Linked DNA regions of Callithrix jacchus. The protein of the gene in region 3 interacts with the protein of the main gene of each other region in a biochemical or structural test. Links are inferred from orthologs where the notes say so. Each region holds a gene or a part of one and is shown on either strand. Other genes may lie near its edges. The genes, in order: PKP1, JUP and DSG1.

Region 1 (4,227 bases), on a different chromosome or scaffold from region 3:
CAAATTGCTACCAGAAATACCTTCCTTGAGAAAGTTGGGACTCCCCGCATGTAACACCCATATCTCAGGAAGTGCATGAGTGGCCTTCATGTGGTTCCCAAGGCAGTCATTCAGTCTTCTGGATCCTTCCTCAACATAAAATTCCCTAAGAGCACACTAAAAGTGAAGTGTGTGAGCTGTGAGCAGCAGCTACAAATGGCAGCAAGAGTGACAGCTATGATAGGGTCACACAGCCGGTGGAGGCCCCAAAACTAAAGCTGACCAGACTGCACGATCACACAGTTCAGTAATGGATGCCCAGAATGAGAAACCCAGGGCATCAAGAAGTACAGCAAGTGTGTTCAGTATTGTTTGCTTTAGGAGGCAAGACAGAATGTGATGCCTTTTAGAAAGATTTCCATCAAAGTAGATACTTTACAAAACACTCAGCTCCTGTTACACACCGAATTCACTGATGTGGGCTCCCTGCAGGCCTGCAGAGCATGCTACGTGAATGAAGCTTCACTGCTCATGTGTCCCCAGGGGTGTGAGTGTGTACAGGAGAATGCACATAGTGGTCCCAGAATAGTAATAAATCCACAGTGGACTTTTGGGGCAAAGCAGCTTTTCAGTGATTCAGTGAGGATCTGGTTAGGAGCCAAGTTACACTTAATTCACATTAAGTTAGCTAGCACTCGTGTATTCACCTGTTTAAAAATATTTGTTATTGAGTGCCTAGTATTATGCCAGGCATTGTTTTAGAGGCTCTGTGTGGAGTTTCAGAGAGGATCTGCTGTTCACGTGGTGTTTTACCGGGGTATACTCATGAACAAGACATAACCGCCAGTTTTACCAAGGCACACCTACTGTGTGCTCTGTTATCTAAAGTCTGCTCCTTGATATGGGCTTCCTGCCCCTGCCCCTCTTTCTTCAGGGGAAGCTGCTAAGAGTCGCCTGGGTGGTCCCCATAAGATGGAGCACACCTTTGGGGCAAGAGCTATGGTTCTGCCATCAGCCCGGGAGCCTCCACCGACAAGACTGGTCTCTGCCATGACCTCAGTACAGAGGGAGATGGACGCCTGGCTCTTCTGGGCAGCCTGGTCAAGAAACACTCCTTTTTTTCCTAGAGAGAGGTCCCTCTCTGTTCCTGAGCTGAGCACAGGCTTTCTCAATGAGCCAGCAGAACAGGACAGAGGGGCGTCTCCCTGGGGCCTCCAGGCCTGCGACGTTTCTAGCTCATGGAGAGGGGGAAGGGAGAGAAAGAAAGAGCGAGCAGGAAGGCGCCCAGCGTCCCGCACGGAGGCCTCGCAGCCTTGCCCCAAGAGCGCTGGCTCCCAGCGGCAGTGCCCTGCAGCCCCGCGCCTGAGCGGCAGCAGCGCGCAGCCGGGTGGAGTGGGTGGTGCAGGGCAGGGGTGGTATATCCTGTCTGACGGAGGGCGGGCCTCGCCAGTGCCAGAGAGGGACGAGCCAGGGTGGAGGCGCCAGGAGCAGCTGCCGGGAGCCCTCACGCGGACCACTCACTCTATGGCCACAGGGAGCCGCTGAGCGCGAGAAGAGCACGCTCCCGCCCGCCCGCTGCACCGCACCTCACCGCGCTCTCCCCGGCCCCGGCCCGCGCCTCCCGCCTCCTGCCACCATGAACCCCTCGCCGCTCAAGACCGCCTTGGCGTACGAATGCTTCCAGGACCAGGACCACTCCACGCTGGCTTTGCCGTCGGACCAAAAGATGAAAACGGGCACGTCTGGCCGGCAGCGCGTGCAGGAGCAGGTGATGATGACCGTCAGGCGGCAGAAGTCCAAGTCTTCCCAGTCGTCCACCCTGAGCCACTCCAATCGAGGTAAAGGCCCGGCCCCCTTTCCCGAGCGCCCTGGCCCAGCGGCGGGGACCGAGGCGGTGCCAGGAGGTGAGGGGCTGCCGGCACCAGGCAGGGTCTACGCTCCGAGTGCGAGCGCGAGCAGCTGAGCTCCCAGCCTGTTCCACGACCCGAAGCCGGCTCGACGGCTCCACTAGCTCGATGGCGCGCCAGTGGGCCAGAATGGGTGGGTGGTTGGTTCACCGGGACTCGGCCAGGAGAGTCTCCCAGCGTTCCGGAAGCCTGAGGATCCCCCGCGAGCGGTTCTCGTGTTCCTGAGCCCTGCCTGGGTCTAGACAGCTTTCTCTTTCCCACGCCGCTCTGCGGATCCGCGCCGCATCCTGGCCCGTCCCGGCTGTCCTGGGGCCATGGCCTAGCGCTCGCAAACGGTTGTGGGTCACCTTGCACCCTTCCTGGGCTTGGTCTCCCTGTCTCAGCTCACGGCCGATGCCCAGAGCCCAGGCCAAGGGGAACCCCAGTCCCTGTGGGGCCGTGTGTTGCGTGTGTGTGCGCGCCAGAGCGGGGTGAGAGTCGCTGAGACAGGAGTGCAGCTCAGGAGAGGCGCTGCGGGACAGGGAAATAGCACAGGGAGCAGGGACGAGGCCCTGGAACTTCGGGGCACTTAATCCGGAGCCTCCCGGAAGAGGCTAGCCTAGCTGGAAGGCCGCCCCATGGCCAGTGGTTCCACTGACGACAGGGAAGGGGGTTAGGGATGCCTTCTTTCCCCAATAGCCAAGGCAGAAATCCTCTTCCCCACCGGATTCTTCCTACCCCACCCAGCTTCAGTAGAAACAAGTGTCTCATGGGGAGGGCAGGGAATGAGCCTGGCAGGTTGGAAATCCCCCAAGCCCCAGGGAGACCTTCAGCTGAGCCCTCCCAGGCACTTTTCCAAGCTGGATTCCAGGCCTGGCACCCCCTCCTCCAGCCTCTGAGAGGCCAGATCCCATGACGGGGCAGCCTGGGAGAAAGGTGACAGCACCCAGGAAACTCAAGGAGGAAGGGGCAGTACCGGACAGGGGAGAGCTTACAGACCAAATAAACGCTTTCATGCAAAGGATGCCGGGCAAGAATTCCACACAAGTGAGCAAAGCTTCCACTTGTTTGTTTTTTTTATTTTATTTAGCTAAGTTTAGTAAAATGCTGATAAAGACTCTACCCACTGCAAACCAATACATGTCAATCAAGACTTATTTCTCAAGACAGACCTTAAGAGAGAGTGAGGGCAGGGGGTAAAAAGGTGTAAGGGGGCAAAAGAAACCGACCCTGCCCATTCTCCCACCACGCACACACGCACACGACCGCACGCACACACACACACACACACACACACACACACCACTCACACTCTCTACCTCTGGCCCCAGCCCCCATTCCTGGGTGGCCCCGTGTAGAGCCGAGGGAGGGAAAATGGCGGGCAGAGGACTTCCTGGGCCTCAGACCTAAAGGTCTTTGCTGCGCTGTGTGCTCTGCCTTTGTCCGGGCTCCGGGCTCCTCTCCTCACATTTCCACTCAAGGTCATGCCGCCTCCAGAGCACTTGCCTCCTTCCCTTTTATTTGGTTCCTTGGTAGCTGCCTCCTAGCCTCTTTAAAAGTGGGTTTGGAAGAACAAAATGCCCCCATTTCTGGCTACAGCCCAGGGCACAGCTCAAGCCAACCTACTCTCCTCTCTGCACAAGACTTGACTGTCCCCTTCCCACTCCCACTCCATCTCAGCCTGAGCCCTTGGCTCACAGCTCCAGAAAACTCAAGCCGGCCCTGGGTGCCCCAAGGACCCTTTCTTCTTCCCACCTATGTCGATATGGGCTGAGTGTCTATCGGCATGAAGTGCACTTTCTGAGTTTGGTCTTCCTGGGTAATTTCTGTCTGATAAGGTCGCCTTTGTTCCTTCTTTGTTTTTCCCCTGAAGGTCCCCCAGGGGTCTTCAGACAGGGAGGGTTGATGCTGATGGCTACCTCTCCAGAAACTCCAAGGACTGGCCCTATGGGCCTGTTCCCTGTGCCCTCAGCCTCAGGAGGCCCCTAAAGGAGGCTGGTTTCCCCAGAGGCATCCTCACTGGAAGAGGCGGTTTGGGCACTTGGAGCTGGTGTTTCTGGTTTATCTGGCTTAGTTTTCATCAGATTTCTCTGTCCTCTCCATCAGAAACGCCCAAGCGTCCCCTATTTGCTCTGCGGCCACCTCTACTCACTCTGCTCCCTCTTTCTCATGCTGGTTTACCTGTCAGGAGTCTGCCTGGGTTCCTGGAATGGAATGAGCCGGGGGACATGGAAGGACCATGCCCCCAGACAGATTCAAATTCTCCTTTAGTCTCTTCTAAGAGCTGAGAGTTGGTTCACCTAGAGTCTTCTTGAGCCCCTTGAATCCTATCCGAAGTTCCCCTAGTTAAGAAGGGCTGGCC
Region 2 (4,385 bases), on a different chromosome or scaffold from region 3:
TCGACCTCAGGTGATCCACCCGCCTCGGCTTCCCAATGTGCTGGGATTACAGGCGTGAGCCAGTGCACCCCGCCTGCCCTGTTTCTTTCATGCTAGGGCTGGATTTCCTTCAGATCTGCAGCTTGATGTTTCCAAGCCCACCAAAGCCTCCTGACACCAATACTGTATTTTTGGGCCAAGCAGTTGTTCTATCTCACCTCCAATTTTTCTATCTTGTCTCTATCTTGTGCCTTTTCTCTGCCCCTTCCCCACTGCCTTGACATTTTATGTCTATGCTCTTCTTCCATGAGGGGAACAGCTGATTTGGTGGTCCTTCAAATGAGAGGAAGGTGGTTCTAGCTTGGGGTGTGTCACTTTGTAGTTTTGTGATTTCTCTGAACCTCGGTTTCTTCATCTTTACGATGAGGATCATTTTCTAGTCCTATTTTTCAGAGCTGTCACGAGAATTAAAAAAGAAAAACGAAAACAAAAAACCCATACCATTAATTTAAATTCTAATCTTTATCAGTTTCTGAGTGCTTCCACAAACCTGACTTCATTTAATCCCCACATACTCCAGTGAGGTAGATATGGCTAATGTACCCAGTTTACAGATGAGGAGAAACAGCGGGAAGGGTGAAGTAACTTGTCTAAGGTCATAGTAAGCGGCAAAACACAAACCCTGGCCTTCTAATTCTGAATCCCAGAAGTACTCCATCTTTGGGGAAAAAAATCCCAACCCAGCACAAAGCCTATGAAATGCCATACAAATATGTTATTACCACTTTGGGGCAAGGATGAATAAGCCCAAAGAAGCATCATGCCTGACGCTGAGTTGGCTGGCTGGTGAAGGCGTCTGTCCCTTCCCTTGGTATCCCCTGACTTACCTGTTGGACAGGTAGGGGGAAGGGGAGAGTAGTGAGTCTCACCTGCTCAGAGCAAGGGTGGGGCAAGACACACCCCATACCTTCCATTGGTTTTTTTCCTTAGTCTTACTGACAGTCCCTTGCCCAATCAGGAGAAAGTAACTTTCTATCTGCCAATTGGTGAAGTGTTAGGATGAGATCTCAAGTTAGAGTCCATCCCTAGAGCCGACTGGCAGTCCCTGGGGCCAATGGCAAGCGGATAAACAGAGGCGGCCGTGGAGAAGGACTGGACGCGAGGCTCCACCCCTTGACGGGACAGTCAGGCGAGACAGCCAGTGAGCTCGCATCAGCGGGTGGGCGTCTCCCCCAGGGGCGGAGTTTCGAGGTGGCGAGGGGCGTGGCTTGGCTGTCAGGTCTCTTCGCCTTTTGTTCGGTTACTGAGTTGCTGCCTTGGCCAGAGTCCGGAGCAGCCGCCGCCCGAGCGCGCCGAGTTCAGTTCGCTGTCCGCGCCGGCTCCCACCCCGGCCCGATTTCTACCCGGCCGGCCAGGCCCCAGACTCAGGTGCGGGCGATCGAGGACAGGTATCGATGGGGAGAGAAGGGGTGGCGAGCGGCCGCGGGGCCGGTCCCAGCAGTCTCTGGGCAGGTGAGGGCGGGTGCCATGGAGCGCCACCCTGCACTGGCAGCAGGGGGCGCGCTGGGGTCCTGGGCGCGGCGACTGGGGGGGCGCGCGGTTCGGGCCGAGCGCGCTTAGGAGCTCCGCGAGCGGGAGATCTGAGCAGGGCGGGAGGGCTCCGGGCAGATGCCTCGGGGGTCGCGCCCCTCCCGGGGCCCGCACAGCTCGCCCGACGCCGCGTCCCTGACTCTCGTCCTGAGCTGGAGGGGGAGACTTTGCCCTGCTTTGACTGCGTCCCAGGGCTCTCGCTGCAGTCAGTAATTTACCGTTTGGGAAACTTGCTGCCGCTGGTCTCTTTGGGGCCACCCTCACCCCACCCCACGCGTCATCCTCGCTTTCCCTCCCTCTCTACTCCCCCAGGCCTGGGTGGGGCCCTATTGTCTGCGCCCAGCTTGCCCAACTGTGGGGGCCGAGCGCACATTTTCCCAGTGACGCTGGCCCCACCTGCCGAGCAGGTGAGCGCACGGAGTCCAGAGGCCCAGCCCTCCAGCTCCCGGAGCCTCGTCGATACTACCTGCGGCGCCTCCCTCCACTCCAGTGGGTGCCCGGCTCTGGCTTCTCCAGCAGAGGTGGGATGGAGTGACAGTGGGGGCTGGTGCACGGCTCGGCCCAGTGTCCAGCTGGTGTTTGGCACCCGTGGCTCGGTCTGGGGGGAGGGGTCTGTGCACGAGTGAAGCATTCAGGGTCACCTGGCCCAGTTTCCAGTAGCTGTGGCTGCCAGAGTGTTGGTAGGGGAACAGGAATCGTCTTCTTTTCTAACCTCTTATTGTTGGAAAAATCACCCAAAACAAACTTTGCAGGAGGAAGTATTCACAGCAGCGTTCTCTGGGGGTTTTCCCGTCTCCTTGCCCAGAACTTCCTTTAGGCTTAGGAGGTCCTTCTTGGTGCAAAGTCCCCTCCCCCAGCCGGCCCCCGGCTGAACCTGGGCCTTTGCCTGCGCTCTGACCCTGGCTTCCCTGCCCCCACATCCATCCTGTTAGCTGCGCCCCAGGGGCCTGAGGTGGGGGCCGGGGTGGGGTGGGTGGAAAGGGCCGAGAGGGGAAGCAGCTTCTTCCTTCTCTTTCTCTTCCTGCCTCCGGGGACCACCACACCCCCTCAGACATGGCCTGCGTGAGTGGCTCTTTCTCAAGCTCTGCCCCCTCCCCAGGAATGGGGGTGGGGCAGGGCTGGGCCAAGCTAGGAAGGTGGGGGGAATGGATGTTCTTGTCTTTTTTTTTTCTCTACCCCATCCCCCACATTACTTAGCTGGCTGGTAATTGAGGCAGAAGAGCATGAGGCTGTGGGGCTTGCCTTCCATTTGATTTCTGAATTATGAAGGTGCATGCTTTCTGGAGGCCTGGGCAGACCTTTCCTATCCCCTTTCCTGAAAGAATTTGACAGGGAAAGTGAGACTGGAGAAAGGCTTTTGGAGGGGAAGGTTTCTTCAATGTTAGACTCCCTCAGGAGAGGTGAATGCCCCCCCCCACCGCCCCCACCTCCTTCCCTACTCCCAATTTCCTGAGACCCCGCCTCCAGAATTGGGGGTCGTCACCAGGCTTTCTACCCTGGTTTTAAAAAGTCCTAAGTGCGGTCATTTTGCAGGATTTGGAGCCCAGCCTTGGGAACAGAGAGGGAATATAAGAGTTGGGTTCTCTCTCAGTCCTGGGGGTGGGAGAAAGATTGCAGAACTGGGGATCGAGAGTGCTTGGAGGGGAAGAGCCTGCCACCTCTTTCTTTGCTGTAGATGGGGGATTGAGGCTGGGGGGCCAGACTCAGCCCCTTTGTCCTGGGTGGGGATCATGCACAGCCCTGGACCAGGGGGAAGCCAGTGTGGGAACTCAGATCCTTTTCTGCTGGGGAAAGGGGTGCTGCCTGCCTCTGGGGAGCAACAGGGCACGGAGTTTGGGCAAAAATAACCTGCTTTCCCTCTTCTCCGTGCCAAGGTGGAGGAGGGGAGGGCATTGTAATTGTGTTGGCTAAATGATTAGTTTAGCTAATCTGGTTTGTGGCTATGATGAAAAGATACTACTGAGGAAGTACTGCTAGGAGATGCCTGGTGAAAACTGGCCACTGACTGGACTGGGGGCGCGGGGGAGGAGGAGAAGATAGGATCCAGTTAGTCATTTCTTGCTAGATGGAGCCCAGCTTGGGTGACTTGAGCCCTCCCGAACCCACTCCACCCCTCCCCTGCACCCTGGCTCCACCCCATTCCCTCTGGAACTTCTGTTTGGAATGCCAGGGCTGAGGCTTTGAGAATTCAGTGCATAGGAACAAGAAAAGACAGGCTAGGGCTGCCAGCCTTTTTCCCTTCCTGGAGCCACTTTAGGATGAGATCGGTCCATTGACTAGTCTACAGAAGGACTGTTTATTTGGAGAGATGGGATGGTGGGGCAGTTCTGAGCACAGGGCTTTGGGCTTGAACTGAGCTGGGTTTGAGACCCACCTCTGTCCCTCATTCCATTACCTGAGCCTCAGTGACCTCTTTGTCAAAATGGGAATACTAATACCTATCTGCCCTGTAAGTACTTGACAAATGGTAACTCAAGATCAAGGTAAGACTTTACAGAAACCAAGCACTTTCATTAGCTAGTCTCACTTCAAACTTAAGGCTGCCCAGGCTCGATGGCTCAAACCTGTAATCCCAGCACTTTAGGAGGCCCAGAGGGGCAGGTTGCTTGAGCCCAGGAGTTCCAGACCAGCCTGGGCAACATGGCAAAACCCTGTCTCTACAAAAAATAGAAAAATTAACTGGGCATGGTGGTGCAAGCCTGTGGTCCCGGCTACTGGGAAGGCTGAGGTGGGAGTATTACCTGAGTCCAGGGAGCTCAAGGCTGCAGTGAGCTGTGTCACCGTACTCCAGCCTGGGCTACAGAGTGAGCCTCTGT
Region 3 (3,644 bases):
AGTATTCTTTGATTTTTCACCATTCATTCCCTCTGCCTCTGCTCCAGCTTACCTCTTCCTCAACTTTAGTCTGCTTTGATAAAGAGACCCTCAACTGCTCACCGTCTATAATCACTGCCTCTTCCTGCTAGTCCTACTAACTGTTGTCAGAGTAAGATTTAAAACTGCAATTATATCATGCCCTTCCCACAATCTAAATACTTCAATATTTTCCTACTGCACACAGGTATTTAATATTAGAGCTGAAAAGTTACCTGTATAAAATTCAGTCTACTATTGTCATTTTACAAGTGAGAAAATGAAAGTTCAGAGAATTAAGGAAATACATTGAAGGTTTTCCAACTCTGTCAAGAGTCAGATTTCACTATTTTGCCCTTGCAAATCCAAGAGTGACTTTGTATCAGAATTCCTTCTAGACTCTGAGCAACAGAAAATAAGCTTACACCAACCCACCACATTTTTAAGCAGACTTGGCAGTTTTTAAATTACAAATCCAGTTGAGAGTCTGACAGTATGGTGAAACTCACTTGGTCTTCTGCCTAAGGTTGTCTCTCATGGGAAAAAGAATGACCCAGCTTCATAAAGCTGGAAAGATTTCTTAGTCATCTGCACTGTTTTCCAAAACAAACAGCAAGCACTGATGCGCCAGTGCAGTAAGGGAAGTGCAACAACAGAGAGCAGATGCACACACAATTCTGTAGCTATGAAGAAGTGGCTTTCGAACAGACAAGTAAGGTATGCCCGTCTCTCATCCCACACTCACAAGCAAGAGAGAGGGAAAAAATGTTCATAAATGCACAGGTAGCAAGGAGCATGCATGCATATTAACATCATTTCAGTTCTGCACCCAAGGTGAACTCTACGGATAACATGACCTAAACTCTGGGCCATGTAGTTTTCTTTTTTTCTTTGTGCTGTATTACTGCTGCTGTATATAAATATTACCAATCACAAAGATAATAGATTAAAATCAGAATTTTTTGTGTTCTTAAAGTTGCAATATCAACTCTTTGTAGCATGTTTTACTTAGTAGTAATTTACTTAAGGGAATAGGCTATCTCATATTTTATTGTAAAACTCACAACTCAAGTTCAAATTATTCTGAATTGTATTGAATTGCATTTAGCCATAGATTAATATCCAAAACTCAATTTCCTCATCTGAAAAATGTGATAGTATTAGTGCTGACCATATGTATTTGCTGTGAAGATTAAATGCATAGATTTATACATTACCTAGTACTTAGTTATTATTAAATAAATTAAAATAGTAATAACAATCATAATTATTAATATTAAATATACAATGGACATGTAATTACTATATTAAAACATGACTTTTTTACACTTTCATATTGATCATAAGTATTGATTTTCTGAATTAACTATTGTGGTAATTTTTTTTAAGTAGGTACTTAGAGACATTAATTTTATATTTTATTTGATGATGCGATTAAAATCAACTATAAAAAAACCTTTTTTTGTATTTTTAAATTACTGTTGTTAGTATTCTTAAATGCAAACTATAATTTTTTTATATCAATGATACAAATAAAATTTTTCATACTTTGAAATTCTGAATAAATTCAATTAGAAGTTGAAAATTTCTTATTTAGGGAGAAATACAAATTAAGGATTTATACTATCTTTAATGAATTATAAATAAAACTTAAAACTTAATAAATACAAACTAGCCCCCAGTCCACACTTAATTTTTAGGCATATTTTACAATGTCTTAAACAAGTACATGAATGTATTAAACTCCATATGTAAATGTCTATGGTCTCAGAAAAGCCTATGACTTTTAGGGAAAATAATTCAAATTATCTCAATTTTTTCCTGCAAATCATGCATAAAGATTACAGTGAGAGCTGTAACTAGGCAGCTTGACTAACATACTTGTTTATCTAGGGAAATTGTTTAATACAAGAGAAGAGACTAAGGAAGTTACATTCCCAGCAACTTGTCCCTATACTCCTGCATTTGCCTCTCCTTGCTGTGGAAGGATGCATTTATAATATCTGTTTCATTCAGAGCTAAAGATAAAACATCAACTAGTTCATTTTTACATAAAGGAAAATGTTTTTCTTTTAGAACTTTTTATTTTCATATTTCAAAGCAGGTGAAAAACTTCATCTTAAAATTTGCAAGTATACAAGGAAATCTTTGATCTACAATTAGAGTGAGGGATTACATATTCTGAAGCCTTTATATTGTTCTGCTTCATATCTTTTCTTCCCTACACACACTTTTTTTTTCTGTTTACAACTGTGGCTAGTCAAATCCTGAAACTATACTCGAATGTTTTCAGATTTTGACTTATTTTGTAATATTACTGAACAGCCTTAGAGATCTCAGCTCTTTGGGCACAAGATTTACTAAGACAGCCTGAGCTTCTGACCACATTTTATTTGAGTTCTAGCTTCAAATATTCTACCATGTAATAACAAGTATCTGCATAGCTAAAATAAAAAAATTTTAAATAGAAGTAATAAAAAGAAGAGTAAATCGAACGGTAAAAACAAAAATTCTTAGCATCATCATCAGACCCAAGACACAAACCAAATCTACCTGCTATATAGACTGATAAAATATAATTATTCACAAACCTATGGTTTTATATCTTTATTGAAGTAACTGAATAATATGCATTTTAAAGCATTTAATTAAAAAATAACTAGTGTGATTATCTTATTTCTTATAGGTGGTGGTAGAAGTTAACAGTGAATTCCGAGTCCAGGTAAATATAACAAATCCATTTTTTCCAAATTTTTAAACAGGAATATAATTTGAGAATAACAACATATTTTCTGAAGAAAATTTATTCTTATAAAGTTCACATCATGCTAAAATTAATAGATGACCAAAATTACCACCGTTCCTAATTAAACATCCTCTACTTCAGACATTATATCCTCTTCCAAAAATCTCAGTGGAATTTGGAATACAAATTTAAATTAATATATACCATCTCTTTATTGCTCTCATTCAAGGTAAGAGATTATAACACTAAAAATGGCACCATCAAGTGGCATTCAATCCGAAGGCAGAAACGTGAATGGATCAAGTTCGCGGCGGCCTGTCGTGAAGGTGAAGACAACTCAAAGAGAAACCCAATCGCCAAAGTAAGTATCAACTCCAAAGCATAACAGTGAAAATCAGAATGGATACAGTTTCAAACAGCCTTTTTAATGTTTGATGAACATGTCTCACTGAGAAGCTACCATACAGAACAGAACTGTTGTCATCTACGTGGTGAAAACTGAAACTCCTAAGGACAAATTAAGAAATGCAGGCACTCAGAGAAACAGCAAAACACTGACTCGCCTCACTGTGAAATGCATATACGTGATCATGTGATATCCCAAACTCTAGATGTAAAAACATTATTATTTAAATAAAGAATTTGGCTTTCAGTGCATTCAAAGGAATTACTTCAATGCATGCTCTTTTTCCCTCATGATGTGTTAGAATTGAATTCCTACTTTTTTGTTTATTAACATTTACAAAGTGCCCTCTCTCATACTCCTTTTCTATTCATTTTTCTGTAACTTTCTTTCCATATACACACACACTTAGAAACAACCCCCTACAGATTCATGAATATACGGATACAGAGACACGGATACAGAGACAAATATACA

The links.
Region 1: the proteins of DSG1 (region 3) and PKP1 form a complex in vitro, tested with the Homo sapiens proteins (2 studies listed by BioGRID and IntAct). The link is inferred for Callithrix jacchus from reciprocal best matches to the Homo sapiens genes DSG1 and PKP1.
Region 2: the proteins of DSG1 (region 3) and JUP form a complex in vitro, tested with the Homo sapiens proteins (2 studies listed by BioGRID and IntAct). The link is inferred for Callithrix jacchus from reciprocal best matches to the Homo sapiens genes DSG1 and JUP.

The regions. Positions count from the first base shown.
Region 1 is NC_133520.1:28,295,575-28,299,801, forward strand, and holds the start of PKP1 (plakophilin-1), read left to right. Parts: upstream 1-1,427; 5' UTR 1,428-1,615; coding exon 1,616-1,817; intron 1,818-4,227. UniProt on the Homo sapiens protein: A component of desmosome cell-cell junctions which are required for positive regulation of cellular adhesion.
Region 2 is NC_133506.1:91,455,429-91,459,813, forward strand, and holds the start of JUP (junction plakoglobin), read left to right. Parts: upstream 1-1,577; 5' UTR 1,578-1,647; coding exon 1,648-1,774; exon of another isoform or gene 1,775-2,090; intron 2,091-4,385. UniProt on the Homo sapiens protein: Common junctional plaque protein. The membrane-associated plaques are architectural elements in an important strategic position to influence the arrangement and function of both the cytoskeleton and the cells within the tissue.
Region 3 is NC_133514.1:74,477,363-74,481,006, forward strand, and holds part of DSG1 (desmoglein-1), read left to right. Parts: intron 1-2,704; coding exon 2,705-2,740; intron 2,741-2,993; coding exon 2,994-3,125; intron 3,126-3,644. UniProt on the Homo sapiens protein: Component of intercellular desmosome junctions. Involved in the interaction of plaque proteins and intermediate filaments mediating cell-cell adhesion.